Nothobranchius furzeri: one gene and its partners. The protein of the gene in region 3 interacts with the protein of the main gene of each other region in a biochemical or structural test. Links are inferred from orthologs where the notes say so. Each region holds a gene or a part of one and is shown on either strand. Other genes may lie near its edges.

The links.
Region 1: the proteins of protein c-Fos (region 3) and runx1 form a complex in vitro, tested with the Homo sapiens proteins (2 studies listed by BioGRID). The link is inferred for Nothobranchius furzeri from reciprocal best matches to the Homo sapiens genes FOS and RUNX1.
Region 2: the proteins of protein c-Fos (region 3) and atf2 form a complex in vitro, tested with the Homo sapiens proteins (3 studies listed by BioGRID and IntAct, with this or other methods). The link is inferred for Nothobranchius furzeri from reciprocal best matches to the Homo sapiens genes FOS and ATF2.
Region 4: the proteins of protein c-Fos (region 3) and runx2b form a complex in vitro, tested with the Homo sapiens proteins (2 studies listed by BioGRID). The link is inferred for Nothobranchius furzeri from reciprocal best matches to the Homo sapiens genes FOS and RUNX2.

Annotation. Positions count from the first base shown.
Region 1 is NC_091743.1:80,937,543-80,941,163, forward strand, and holds part of runx1 (runt-related transcription factor 1), read right to left. Parts: intron 2,193-3,621; coding exon 2,041-2,192; intron 1,979-2,040; coding exon 1,868-1,978; intron 1-1,867.
Region 2 is NC_091754.1:21,204,658-21,208,278, reverse strand, and holds part of atf2 (cyclic AMP-dependent transcription factor ATF-2), read left to right. Parts: intron 1-1,330; coding exon 1,331-1,545; 3' UTR 1,546-3,621. UniProt on the Homo sapiens protein: Transcriptional activator which regulates the transcription of various genes, including those involved in anti-apoptosis, cell growth, and DNA damage response.
Region 3 is NC_091742.1:2,309,384-2,313,584, reverse strand, and holds protein c-Fos, read right to left. Parts: upstream 2,782-4,201; 5' UTR 2,633-2,781; coding exon 2,498-2,632; intron 2,228-2,497; coding exon 2,009-2,227; intron 1,920-2,008; coding exon 1,812-1,919; intron 1,696-1,811; coding exon 1,045-1,695; 3' UTR 567-1,044; downstream 1-566. UniProt on the Homo sapiens protein: Nuclear phosphoprotein which forms a tight but non-covalently linked complex with the JUN/AP-1 transcription factor. In the heterodimer, FOS and JUN/AP-1 basic regions each seems to interact with symmetrical DNA half sites.
Region 4 is NC_091742.1:21,554,489-21,558,109, forward strand, and holds part of runx2b (runt-related transcription factor 2b), read right to left. Parts: intron 2,928-3,621; coding exon 2,823-2,927; intron 1-2,822. UniProt on the Homo sapiens protein: Transcription factor involved in osteoblastic differentiation and skeletal morphogenesis. Essential for the maturation of osteoblasts and both intramembranous and endochondral ossification.

The DNA of each region.
Region 1 (3,621 bases), on a different chromosome or scaffold from region 3:
TGGTTGTTATTGTTTGAACATGAAATTTTTATTTATGTGTGCATATCGTCCATTATCTGTGAGAGGCAATGACATCCACTCATGACACTCCACAACGATGCATTGTGGACCAAACACACACACACACACACACACACACACACACACACACACACACACACACACACACACACACACACACACACACACACACACACGCGTAAAAGACTAATGCATAAAACTCAATAAATCAATCTGCTGTCTCTCTCTTTCTCTCCGTGTGTGTGTGTGTGTGTGTGTGTGTGTGTGTGTGTGTGTGTGTGTGTGTGTGTGTGTGTGTGTGTGTGTGTGTGTGTGTCTTCTGCAACTAGTGCTGCTTTTTCAGAAATGCATTTTGTTTCAGAACAGGAAAGCCATCCCCCCCCCCACACACACACACACACACACACACACACACACACACACACACACACACACACACACACACACACACACACACACACACACACACACACACACACACACAAGGGAATACAAAAGAAACCAGTGAATCATCAGACTGCGTTTTAAAAACACTGCAGATGAGTAAATCTGATGATTGATTTTTGCTGTAGAAAAAGACTTTAAAGTCCTGCAAGGCGAGCCTCTGTGACACAACAAAAAGCATCACACGGCGATATTACAACATCTTTTTTTTGATATTTTACTCCACTGTTTATTTGGGGGTGTTGTATATTACCCTGTCGATGCTAGCTGCCTTAAAGGATGTATTAATATTTGATTTAATCTCACAAAACTAGTTTTTTCAAGTTTTGGGACTTTTACAGTGAACAAGAGACAATGATGAGATTAAGAGGAATAACGCTGCGGTGAGCTGAGGGGAAGGGGTCCGCTGTCGGTGACGTACACGTTTAATGAGTATAGCAGAACAACATTCCTGGGAATTGGGAGAAGTTTAGTATAAGTTTGTTGTATTTGACGACCAGAACAATTAATAAGTCTTTTCCCACCTGGTTGTTTTCTAAAGTATGCATTGATTTTACAGAAAAAGGTTGAACATAGTGATAAATATTGTTACCTGGATGGGAATTACTTACAGGCTATTGAGAAATCAAATGTTCACATCACACACCGGCTATGCTTAGGTGAGATGCCTATATTCATACAGCGCCCTCTAGAGTCTTAGAAGCCCTTAAGGTGCTTTACAACACACACTCATTCACACACCGGTGCTGATGAGCTACGCTGTAGCCACAGCTGCTCTGGGGCGTACCGACAGAAGCGGCGCTGGAACAGAGCTTAGAACATGTTTAAGATTTTAATTTGATCAGTGAAATGATAGTTTAGGTTAAAACCAGAGTCTCAGGTGGTTCTGACCCGGCCCAAGCAAATGCAGGTATTAACTCACTGGTTTCCTGTCTTTCTCCAGTGGGAAATGTTGGTTTTATTGATCCAACTGGCTGGTCTTTATGATGGAAGTCTCAGGGTGAGCAGAGGTTTTATTTGTTATATTGATGAATTTTTAATAAAAAAAAAATAAAAACTTGAGGAATGGCAGAAATGTGTGTGTGTGTGTGAGAAATTAGATCTAAAGTCAGTTACACCTCTTACATCAGGGTACTTATGGCAGTACATATTGGGTACTTTAGTTACGAGGGCAAGGCCCTTTGTACCCATAAGTACTGAGCCGTTTACGTACGGCCACCAAAAATAATAAATAATTTGACAGTTTCACAAATAAAAGCATGAATAGAATACTATTATATGTATTGTAATACACTCTATTATTTGTTTTGTTGTACTTTTAACTTTTTTACTGAAGTATACTAATTTGATCTTCATCCCACGTTTATATTAAAGACATATTTTCTTTAGTGATGAAACTCACCTTGAAAGCGATGGGCAGAGTCTTGTTGCACCTCCAGTGGGAGGGGAGCACGGAGCACAGGAAGTTGGGACTGTCGGTCTTCACCAGCTCTCCTGAATGGTCCGAGATCACCTGGTAACAAAGCATCCCGTCACTTCCTGAGCGGAGCGGTTATCGGAGCGGTGTGGTTTTACCTCTGCCATGCCGTGGTCTGAGAGGCGCAGCTTGCCCATCAGAGCGCCCCCCCCACTGGCCTCCTGTGCCCCCAGGGGCAGTGCCTCGGCCATTTTCCCTCCCGTGGCGAGCGAGGTGGAGGTGGGAGTGTAACGCCGGCCAGGAGCTGGATCTATTAGACAAAGAGGGAAAAAAGGATATTTTTTTAATTATCTGTTTTAATAAGTCTTATTGTTGTAATGTGATCAGTGGGGAAGAAAACCCATCAGCTCTTAGTATGCAAGGCTAATCTCTCCTTTTACTGATACTTCCTGGTTAACAGAACCAATCCGACTCCTGGTCAGTGTAGAAAAATGCTACATTTATCCGTTTCACTTTCCTCTTAGGAAATAAACAGGAAGTCTCAAATATGGAATGCGAATGCAGCGAGTCGGGACGCGAGTCAGAGATGGATGACACACCAGACAGCGTAACGATTAAACTAAAGTCGTTCCCGTTTGTTCAGACTCCCCACAGATAGATTGTGAAAAGTGATATACTATCAATAAGTTCATCTGAGGACAGTTCCTGCCTGTAGTGTAATTATCATCCATTAAACGCAGGAACTGAACCTGCGGGGATGAAGGATGCAGCTGTTGGTGACTGGCCGGAGACGGGACGCCTCGATGGAGGCCACGGACGCTCCACGGGTGGAACCAAAACCAAAAGCAGCGAGAGGACTTCAGTAGTTTTTATTATGCTGTTTTACATGTTAATGATGGTGAACGGCCATCTGACCTAGGCCACCTTTGGTTTTTAGCTTTGCACCAAAGCCAGTGTCTGACTGGTCGGCAAGTGTTGGTGACACTTTTTGTGTTTGTGAGTTTCCAAAAAGTCTTCAGTTGTTTGCAAACGTTCTGAATTCCCCAGAGAGGCTCAGCCCTGAGAACGTATGAGGCTGCTCTGGCAGGGGTTGGTGACCAGTAGAAACCAGACGGTGCCTGGTGGGAAACAGAAAAATCCTCAAAGCAGCAAAACGGCTAAACAAACAAACGAGAAATCACATCCTAAATAATTCCGCTTCAGGTGGTTTGTATCTAGCAGAAAAAAATGCGAGAAACAGATTCATCCCGCAGCCAAACAAAACCCTGCAATTCCCGTTTTATTCTGCATAAGTAAAGTCTGTGAGACTAAAAAAAAAACACACTTTATTTTCACTTTTAGTTTCAAATCTGCTGAAATGCCTGTAACATCCTGCTGCTGGGGTGGGTTTTCAGTTGGTTGGGGAACAGAAATTTTGTCGTTTCTTATTTGATGAAGAATAAATCGTTGCAGCATGAATAACTACATAGTTGCACTAGTCACCAGTTCTGTTCCTGCAGGTCTAGAATCCTTAAAAAAATTAATTCACAAGATACTTTTTATCTTAGATCTCAGATTTATACCCGATTACTTATATTGAAAGTTTTAATTAGTGATTAACTACGAGGAATTCAAACATGCTGTTTTCTTACTTTTTTAAAAATGTATTTATTATTATTTTTACTGCTTTGTAATTGTTCATTACGGATAAAAATACATGGAAGAGAATTTTATAATCACACTTTCTTAACACGTTAAAT
Region 2 (3,621 bases), on a different chromosome or scaffold from region 3:
TATAGGGCATGTTGTGATCTGTGGGGGAAACCGGAGTACCCGGAGGAAACCCACACATGCATGGGGAGAACACACAACTGCACGCAGAAAGACCGCAGCCGAGTTTTGAACCTGCAACCTTCTTGCTGCGAGGCAACAGTGCTAACCACTGCGCCACCATGCAGCCCACCACAATCTAAAATCATTTAGTCCTCAACAACTGCAGAAATGACCCCAAAAGCACAAGGATCCCCTGGTTTGGTGCCACTTTAAATATCAGTGTAATTAGTAAAGCACTATTTGACTCTGATCATTCATGTACAGACTTCATAAAAGTCTCTCAGAGTTACAACTCCCGTACGGCCACTCTGCCCTCCGGACTCCGTAATCCCCCTGCCCAGGCGCAGGAACTGGCTGGTGGAAGGAAATAGCCCAGACTGCCCCACCAACAAGCCAGGACACAGTTTCACTTGGCACCACGAGCCGTCCATCTGTTTACAGCGAGCCTCTGCTTCAGAAAGCGAGAGAGCGGAAAGAAGCTCTGCCCACCCGGGGAAGCAGGAATTTCAGAGTATTATGATAAATCAGCTGGCCGCCACTTGGTGTTGTTAGGAGCAATGATGCTCGCTTGAACATGAAACAAAACCACTAAGCTAATTTAGATTTTGACCTGAAACAGAAGTCAACGTGTGCTTTATCGTTTTTCTTAACACCCTTTTAGGAAGACTTCTCTACAGCCGTTCAGACGTTGCTCCCTTTCGATGGAATTTGTATTTTAGATTCTCAAAGACCTGCTCATTAATTACAGAGTGGAGTAACAAGCGACTTTATATCATTAGCAATATTAATTATCATCGTGCTCCTTATTCCTGTATGAAACGGAGCATGAGAGTGGAGTCTTTTTTTTCCCATCAGGATCCAATTAATTCAATGCAACTGCCTAACAGCTGGTGGCATTTCGACTCCAAGTCTTCCCTACTCTCCAGTGTGAGCATCATTAAAATCAGGTGCTGTAATCATCTGTCGCTGCAGTAGTTGGCAAGGTAACAAAAAACAAATGAGACTGCAGTTAGGGATGGGAAGCGCTGCCACATGCCCCAGAATGTAATGCCCCCTTATGATGTGGGTTTAAATTGACATTGGAGCGTTAATTAAAGGAAAGGGGTGCAGAAGTAGCATTATGGGGATTAATGAAATGGTTTGCATCCTCTACACGCTGATAGCTGTTTTACATGCAAATAGGCTTGTGTGACACGGCTACCCCATTGCCTTCTGGGTTTTATCTGCTGAAATAAAATGTAAGGAAGGATATTTAAGCCTCGCGGCCGGCTGTTGTTTGATGTTTTTACAGTCTCCGACAAAGATGAGAGCTGCGAGGAGATGTCCATCCCCAGCAGCCCCCAGAACGAGGCTATCCAGCACAGCTCCGTCAGCACCTCCAATGGGGTTAGCTCCTCCTCAGCTCCGGCCGTCTCCGCCCCAGCCAGTGCCGCTTCGGCTAACCCAAGCACAGAGGAGAGTCAGCCACGGAGGGGCGCTACCAAATCCCAGTCCTCAGGGAGCTGATCGTCCCAAACTGCATCCACGCTGGAGCGCGGCGGTCTCTTCAGACAAGCAGAGGAAATAGTTTCTCTCTCCGCTTCAGTTCAGATTGTACACTTTTTCATTCTCTCTTGATTGCTTTGTATTGCGTTTGGCCTGTTTAGTAATTCATAGGAATGCTTTTAAACATGCAACGTATTCTCTGTAACTGCTGAAAACAGAAGAACATGCACTTTAGGTGTTTTTGTATTTGTTGAACTTGTTTATTGATCTTCTTTATATTTATTGATTGGAAATCAGCCAAGTGAAGTGATTGAGCAGTCAGTTGTTACCAAAGTGTGGTGTTGCTCTTTTTTTAATGCTCTTGAACTTTACAAGCACTACCTTTATGATGAAGATACTTTAAAGCAGCAATCTGGAGTTTTCTCCCTTTCGAGGAATTATGTATAATTTTTTAGAAATTAGTAAAAGTGGTAGTGTTACCTGGTACTGTGATATAATTAGCAATACTTTTTTTTCTTTTCTTTTTTGGGCTCAGATTGCCTCCATCCCATAGAGCCCCGTGCAGTTTGAATTGAGCACTTCTCAGCATTAGCATTAGCCAGTAGTGTTAGACATCCCCTGGTGGTGATGAGCTACAATATAGCCACAGCTGTAATGGCTGACGGAAGCAAGGCTGCCAAACACAGGTGCCACTGGTCCCTAACAACCACCACCAGCAGGCAAGGTAACTTGTCTTGCTCAAGGACACAACCACTGTGACGGACTGAGTGGGACTCGTTCCCACAACCCTCCAGTTACGAGGCGGCCACGTAACTCCTCTACCACCGTCGTCCTAATTGTAAAACAATGTTTTAGCTACGTCTGTCGGCCAGAGGTGCACTTTCACACACGAGGGGCGTTGCTTCCAGCCATGATCACAGAAGCAGGGAAAAGGGCTCATAGGTGTAATACCGTTTTTCCACCTCTAGATGGTGCCCTCTGAGGAAAAACTCTGGATTTTTGCTTTAAGTAAATTTGCTTTGACCATTTTCCACATATCTGAGAGGAGATGGGTTTACTTTTTGGAGAGGTGGCGAGACACTGGCAGCTTTATTAAGAAGTTGGTCTAAATTCTGGACACAAAACCGGAGTTTTAATTTGACGAGTGTTTATGAAAACAAGATCAGCTGTCGTTGGGGAATGTTTGAGCTCGCCTCTGCATGTAAAATAGCGTCACACCGGTGAGCCGGCTGGATTTGCGTCTTTCATTAACACTCCACCTGTAGTCTGATTGTCCCTGAAGCAGTGATTGTAGGATCGCAGTACTTTTTTGTTTATTACTCCGTCATGGTGACGTTGACTTTACTCAGTGCCATTAACGTTTTTGTATAAATTACCTCTGTGCATTAAAAAAAATAAGAATAACCTGAGTTTATTGCTGTTCTCTCAGATTTCTTCTGTTTACTGTGTTTGCTTCATGCGTGTCTTCAGTATCCGATGCAGAACATTTAGGGACATTAGGTTGTTTTCATGATGGCAATTCTAGATGACATTTTTAGTAAACATTGTAAGAAAAACAAAGAACACATCAATATTGAACTTGCCTGTGGTCATTCTTGATATTATGTACTTTGTTATATAAGATTGTACACATTTAGTAGATGAACTCTCTTGATCACATCAAGTTTAAAGAAAATGACCTTTAATCTGATTAGAATGCATCAGTAGATTGTAAAATGAAAATATTCTCATGTGAACTGGAATCGCATCGTGTACTTTAGTTACACAAACTGATTGTGATTATTTGTTCATTAATTATGAGAAACAAAGCCCAGCTTTTAAAGTCAGTTTGCTTTTTCTCTTAGTCCCTACTGGCTTACTACTGTGTAGTTTTTACCAACACATTGTTTTCTGAAAATGGGATTTTTAAAGTTTTACTGTTGTGCTTTCTGCATGAGACAACGATTCTCTACGAGAATTTGACTTTGTTTAATGACGCCTCAAACTAAGAAAATAATGGTCAATTAAACAAGTTATTACGACTTGAGTTGTGATTTGTTTTACCCTGGCTTAAACTGCTTCAAAACCTGGGTGTGATATGGTGTTGACAGTGTTTAT
Region 3 (4,201 bases):
TGGCTGCGTTTAGAGACGCATCTTGACGCATTCAGACCTTCCTTTGCAGAACCAAACACAGCTTTGTGGTTGAAGCGTTGCTGTCTGGTGATTTCGTCTGCAGAAGCTGTCGTAGCCAGTAGAGACGTGAGAAACAATGTGGCCTGGATTGCGGAATAAAGGCAACAGCTTTTCTTTCCGTCTTCCGGCGAACATGCCAGCAGCTGCTCTCGGCTCAGAGGAAACCTTTGGTGCGCTTTTGTGTCCGACCCATCGGGTCCGACCGTCCGTTCTGGTTCTGCTCACAGACTGCAACAGCGACTCCCCGTATTTGGGCACGGAAGTAACGCAACAGCGCATAATTTGCAAATTGAAAAAAAAAGAAGGAAAAAACGCACTGACGTCACAGCCCTGACGTACAGCAGACCTTGGCAACAGACGGAACAATAAATAGAGCAGGAAGGAGCAGGAAAAATACCGCTATCCCTGTTCAGGCCGATTTGGGGCATTATCATAACGTCCTTTGACACGTGGGCGGAAATACTTGATAAAATAAATAATATTAAAAGTCCAACAAACAAAAGAAGTGAATTTAAATATCGCTAAATTTTATTCACATATATAACAACATTTTTATACTTTGTAAAAAAATAAAACTCTCATAAATTAAAAGCACAAATGTTTTCACAGAAAACTTCATATTTTAAAGACCACTCAGACCATGGTTAAGACAAAATCACACCTGTCTTTTTATCACAAACATGTCATAATTACTCTAGTTTAACAGAAAATAAATAAGTATTGCTCTTAAAACACATCAGTAAACAATACGTTTAGTTATCTAGCACCATATAATCAGAGGAACTCATAGAACGACTATTGTTTGAAACATGCTTATTAACTTGCTACATGGTGTAATAGGCAAGTATATTTGTATATAAAGGCAGATAAAATCATTAAGAATTATGCTTCCATGTACAAGTCTGTGCTATTGCCCTTTGATGTGCACGTATATCTGAGGAGAATGTGCTTGTTAAGGAAGAACGATGTATCCAGGAAGAGTCCTTAAAGGGCCAGCAGGGTTGGGGAGTTGAGCGAGTCGGAGGACTGGTCGTTGCTGCTGCTTCCTCTCCTGTGAGCGACGCCACAAGAGGGGAAGGTCTCAGCCTCTGGGAAGGTAAACATGAATGAAGACGTGTGGGTGGTGCATGCTGGAGTGCAGGTCACGACAGGTGTGCACAGAGGCTCAAAGTCAGCATTATTGGCTGAGCTGTGGAGGGGCTCCCAGTCCTGACTTGTGTAAAGGGAGCTGGGCAGGTCGACCTCGGGGACTGAACGAGCCGTCTCCATCTCCGTCTTTGCCAGCAGGTCGAGAGACTCCTCCAGGACAGACGAGTCCAGGTCGGTCATCTTGACTGTGCTGTTGGAAATGGTTGTGGTGGAGAGGATGGGGGTGCTGCTGGAGAAGAGGGAATTGGAGGCTGAGGTGAAAGTTGGCTGACTAGAAGTGACGGCGGACTTTACAGGCTGGGAAGAGGGGATGGAGGAGTGGACAGGAGAGATGGAAGACAGGTGGAAGTCTGTGTCCAGCTCTGAGGGGATTTTGCAGATTGGCTGGTGGGCGGCCAGAATGAACTCAAGCCTCTCCTTCTCCTTCAGCAGGTTGGCAATGTCATTCTGCAGGACAGACTTCTCATCCTCCAGCTGATCAGTTTCCTGCCAGGGGAAGGAGGGGAAAAGAGGCATTTAGTCGGCTGCTGGAATGCACTGCTATTAGCTCTGGCAGTGAAAACATTCTGATAAGTGAAAGCAAAGTCTGGCGGGATACTTACAGCTTGGAGGGTGTCTGTAAGCTCTCGCCTCCTGTTGCGGCATTTAGCTGCTGCCTGCTTGTTTCTCTCTCTGCGAATTCTTCTTTTCTCCTCCTCCTCAATGCTCAACTGCACATCATAGAAGCAACAGAAAAGTTAACATCCCTGCTCCGTAATGCACTTTTGAGTTAATCCATAATATTGCAGAGGATAATCACCTGTTCCACTCTGCCTCTCTTGGAAACCTTGGATGCAGACTTCATAGCTGTGCTGGTGTAGGCTGGGCTGGGGCTGCTGGAGCTGTAGGGGTGAGCTCTGTGAGAGGGGGCCACGGAGGAGACCAGAGGCTGCACCATCCACTGCAGATCAGGGCTTGTGGAGATGGCTGTGACTGTGGGTATGAAGGAGGCACTTGATGCTGTCAGTTCAGTATAATCCTGCAGGGAAGAAGTGAAAGGTGGTTTAGTTTGAGGAGGGGGTTGCAGCAGCATATTGCTATAAAAAACTGGACAATTTAAAAATATCCCTATGATGTCAGCTGTGACGTTACATGCTCTCTATGGAGTTTCCAGGTGAATGCATGAAAATGGCATGATTGAATCACTAACTGCCCCTTTATTTCACAACATTTCTGTCACCCACGAACTTTTAAAAAAAAATTATTTTAAGTCATTATGGGAAAAAAATAACATAAATGGCGTATTTACCTGAGATTGTGGAGATTCTATGCTGGAATAAGACCCCGCCGGTGACGGGTAGTATCCAGGATTGTCCCCGCACGGGGACGCGGTGCTGCACCGGGAGGAAGAGTCGCACTCCGTGTTGAAAGCGGTGAACATCATCCTTTCAAAGCGCTAAAAAGAAGCTCGGGAGATCCAAACAAACTACTTCAGGGGAATGTAAACGGGAGACGAGGAAATCCCTTTTGCAGGTTTGGAAGCGCTCCTGTGGATCGTACTCCTTTAGTCGCTGCTCTGCTGCTCAAACTTCATCTGCCAACTCCGGCATCTCGGAGCGGTTTTATACACCAGGCCGTGACGTCGACTGGGGGCGTGTCTTCAACCTGAAACCGGCAGGAGGAAACCATAAACACTAGCATAACAACGCAGCCAAAAACCCAACACGCTAAATACGACAAGCTTATCACCAAGAAGCGTGTTGTCAACCTCTCTACGACGAGAACGTGTCTGTTTTTAAAGCCAGCGACCAATAAGTGGAATATTCCAGATCAAGGAATCCCCGATACGTAGTTTACCATATATGGTGCATCCTCCTGCGAGGTGGGCGGATCTTGATGGGAAACACCATCTGAGCGTCTGAGCGGCAGCAGCCTGGCGTTATGTAAAACTACAAACACAGAGGCTGTTGTGAGTAAACTACAATCATAGCTAACGGAATAGTTTTCACTACAAGTAGAAAAAGCAGATTTTTAGTTTGGTTCAAAACTAAAATAACCACAATCCATGTTTTCATAAGCAACCCATCTAAAATATATATATATATATATATATATATATATATATATATATATATATATATATATATATATATATATAAACATGATCTACTATCAGAAAGCACGTGCAGCTTTCTTCACATCACTTTTTTGCTAAAAATCTGTGAAGTTAAACATAATCAAATATTTGAAAATCATTCTGAGCAGTTTTATACTTTCTAAATGTGCTAACAAGTGATTGTACAGTGTTTGCTATCAAATGTTGTGTTAACATCTCAAAGAGCTGTTTTGGATTTTGGAAGAGGGTAAAATACCCAATAAATTGTTTAAAAAAGAGCCTAATTATCTTGCAGGAACGGATTTTTATTAAAGAAATATTTCATTTCCTGAGGTTGTTCAAAAGTGCCAAGCCTATGGGTGGAAGGCTAAAGAGGGCTAAACATACGTCAAAGGAAGTTTAGGTGTGTGTGTGTGTGTGTGTGTGTGTGCGTGCGTGCGTGCGTGTGTGTGTGTGTGTGTGTGTGCTTTCATCGAAAGCAGACTGCACCTGTAAAGAGGGAATCCTCAAGTATCTCGCTTTTTGACACCTGGCAACGTGCAGAGCTGAACCGAGTCACCACCCAGACCAAATTTTAAGTTTATTGTTCATCATAATTTGTAAAAATGTATTTTTCTTCACATAAATACCACAGTTTTTTCCTGCGTTTCAGAACGGGGATGTGAGGATTTTTGCTCTAAACAAATGAGATTTTGCCTTTAATTCCAAATGAAATCATTAATTCCTATTTTAGCATTAGAAATGACATTTTAAGTGCAAAAATATTCACATTATGTAAAAACCACAACAGAAATAACTGACTTTCAATGTATTGAAAATATAAAACTATTATTAATCTGAAATGTCATTAATAACGAGTTCAAAACGGTGTTATTGTGTCAAACAGCAGCAGATTAG
Region 4 (3,621 bases), about 19 Mb from region 3:
GAGAAAGCTGGGTTTCAGTAAGATTTAGAGACGTTTTAGTGTTTACAACAGTGGGATTTCACTGAATCAGGCGACAAAGCTCCGCCCCTTTGGGAGCGCTGTAGCTCAGGTAGACTTCAACATCCAGGGTTGAAACCGGTCACAGAAAGCTGGCTAAACTGGTACTTTCGTGTCTTTATTAGTTCTTACACCATCAGGGTTTAAGTTTCGATCATTTTTAGAAATTTAATTAATTATGATCCAATCTTTTAATAGTCAAAAATTGGAATTTTGTGCAAAAACAATTTTTATTCCTGCAAACCCTTTACGACATTTACAAACTTTTTTATGGAAATGCAGGTATTTTTGTTTTCTTTCACCCAGTGTGTCTCCCCGCTGTAGGACTTTCTACTCAAATCTCCTCAGAACAGACACCCAAATATCCTAATTTACATTTTAGCTCCAACTCCTCTTTGAAACTGAAAGTGAAACTTTTCATGTCTCCAACATAAAACACAGAAACGTATAAATTCATATGCGGTACAATCAGAGCCTTTCTGAAAGTTTACTTTTTAGTCTAATTTCCCATCAGCCTTTTATTAGTTAAGTTAGCTACCAGGAACTATGTCGTTAGCATTAGTACACCATAAAAGCCCCATTTGATTACCATGGTGACCCAAATGCTCCACTGGTCGTCACTCTAACATTTCTCTGGATCTTTGTACTCATTACTTTTGGTATATATTTGTTTTGTCTTGGATAAGGTAGCTGAGTTTACATCGTTTAAAACTTCAAATTTAACATTAAACACTTTAAGATAAACAAAGACAGAGCTGGCTTCCGTTCACCTGTTATCAGGTAGAACTCCTGGCCTGTTTCTGACTTGTCTCCAGCTCCGTCTCTCCCACGAGGCTTTCTGAGACAGACCTAAAGCTCCAACTTTGTTGAGGTCAAGTTCAGCTCTCCTAAACAAACAGTTCCGACTCCCATCTGCTTGCCACTAAGTAACAAGACTTGTTTGAAAGTCATCTGACGGGGGACAGCAGATGCACAGGAAATGCTTTTGATCAAACAAAAGCGAGAGCGGGCGGTGGGGAGAAGTGGGCGTGATTGTGAGGACATATGCGCTTGAGGACTTGCATATGCCTTTGTTTTTCGGGGCGCATGTCTCCGAGTAGTGTGACGTGGAGCCCATGCGTGTGTGTGTGTGTGTGTGTGCACTTCTTGGCACCGCCAGCAGGTTTCCTACAAGGCAGAGCGATGGTGGTAGTAATCCTACTGTCTCTTGGCTCCTCTGTGTCTCCGTGTTTCCTGGTGCCATATGTGACAGGGCAGGCGGCTGGGTGGACTGTTTGTGATGTGATATTGTTCAATGAGATGCCTTGAGATGAGAATACGTTATTTTTTTTTATGAATAGGGAGGAGGTCTGTGGAAACAGCTGCATGCCAGACCAGTTGGCACTGACGGCTATAGTAAAGTTTTTTTTCTTCCTCAGTTGTTTTTATAAGGCCCATTAAAATAAGCTGATGCTAGCACTCTGCTACCCAGTGTACCCTCTCAGGGATACTTTGTCTCACATTTATGTCTCTTCTTTCTCTTGCATGGGAAACTCGACTGTTTCATTTAATTAAAAGCCAGTTGATTGTCTGTTTACAGGATTTAGAGCATCTTCCAGTAAAAGCTTTTTTTTTTTACGACTGTTATTTTGCTTGTTTAAATAGCGTTTTGTATTTAGCTGAGCATTGGTTGGCTCCACGAAGACACACCCACAACTTATTTAAAGGGACAGAACCCTCATTTCACACATTGGGTCAGTACGCAAACCTGTTTGAATCAGTGAAAAAGTAACTTTCGCACATTTACTCGTTAACTGCCAGTAACGACAAAAGTCGTCATTTTAAATCTAACCATTCACTGCCATTTTTTTTTTACTGTGTGGGTGTCGGAACGAGCCCCCGCACCGTGAGAACAAACATCCCAGTTCTAAAGCTGATCTTCATCCACGTACGTCACACGTCACGTGATCAGGAAGCAGATCATCCATGTGTTAGGAGATCACTTTGGGCCAATGCTGTAAAAAAAGTGAGGCGCAAACCGGAAAAGCTTCTGCAGATCACAATTCAACAACGTATTATGAAAGAACGGATAACGTTTGAAACGCGCAGATTCTTCCTGATGTAAGAGGGTGAGTCTACTCTTTGCTTTGGTAGTTTTGGCGTTGACATCATCAAAGCACGCAACGCTCTGTAATTCTTGAAAAAACTGTAAAAACGCTGAAAAACGCCAGCAGCGACGGGTTTGACTGATCAGGAAACAGCTGGCAGTCAATGAGTTAATGCACAGAGGAATGGAACCCCCCCCACACACACACACACACACACATACACACACACATCAGTACAGACTAAATACATTAGAAATAGAAATATCTGAGCATGCAGCAGCGAGTATGAACCTTTTATGATCATGGAAATGTAGTATTCAGTTAAATATAGAGGGGGCGGGGCTTAAATCCTGTACCGAAACCAGCCACTAGAGGCGCTTGCTGGATTCCTGCTTCAAAGTCCAGGCTGTGTTCAGATGTCTGGTTTCACTATTAATGTTCTTTATCACTGTTCTACAATCTGATCCTGCATGAGCAACTGTAGATGCAAAGATACATTTAAGGAGAGGTATTGTGGGAAAAGGAGTTTTTAACATTTTGAAGGCTGATGCAGCTAAAATGTGGACCGCTACTAGCCTTTGATCTACTTTAAAACGAAGTGTGACACAAACATGTTGTATTTTGGTTGTTTTGTGTTGTATAAGCACATTTCTGTGCCGTGCATGCGTTGGTACTCACTCCTGGGCTCACGCGGTCCATCCACGGTGACCTTTATAGCTCGGTGATAAGTGGCCACTTGTGGAGGGTTGGTGAATACTGTGATTGTCAGCGTGAAGCTCTTGCCTGTGGTGACATCAAAGAACATCAAATGATGTGCAGTCCGTGAAGACAATGACTGGTATTCATCTCTAAACCATCCCCAAGTCACAAGTGTGGAAGGGATCACACAGCGGCAATAAAAACCAGGACAAGTTTGACTCGGAGAGGATTAACAACAGAGAACTGCTGATTTAAGAAGGTCTGTGTAGTTGTTTTGGCAGAGTCTAAACAGAAAGATGAAAATGAAGGAGCCAGTATCTCATTATCCAGAACCTCTGATGCAGCGTGAGTGGGCGAGAGGCATTTTAATAGTCACTTCCTCTCTCGATAATCCCCAGCAGTTGCTGCCTTGGGGTGGACTGCTTGTCTGTGCAAGTGTGTGCGTTCTAATGCTCACGCACGAGGAATGCTGTGAATCAGATGGCAACAGCCAAGTCAGCAGCCATGCTAACGTCTGAAGCATGCAAACGCACCACGCAACACGTGGGAAGCAGTAAGGAGGAGGCAAGGGAAGGGAGGGGGAGGCGGGCGGTGGGGTTGCAGCAGCTGTCCGTTCAGCTGCGTGTGTGCCCCCCCCCCCCCCCCTCCTGCTTCTAACCTCTCTTATGATAAAGATAGGATGCACATACCTGATTTAAGGTGCACAAGAATGTTGTGGGATAAAAACAGGACACCTGGTGCTCCACCATCCCGTCTCCCTTCTGTCTTTTACCTGCCA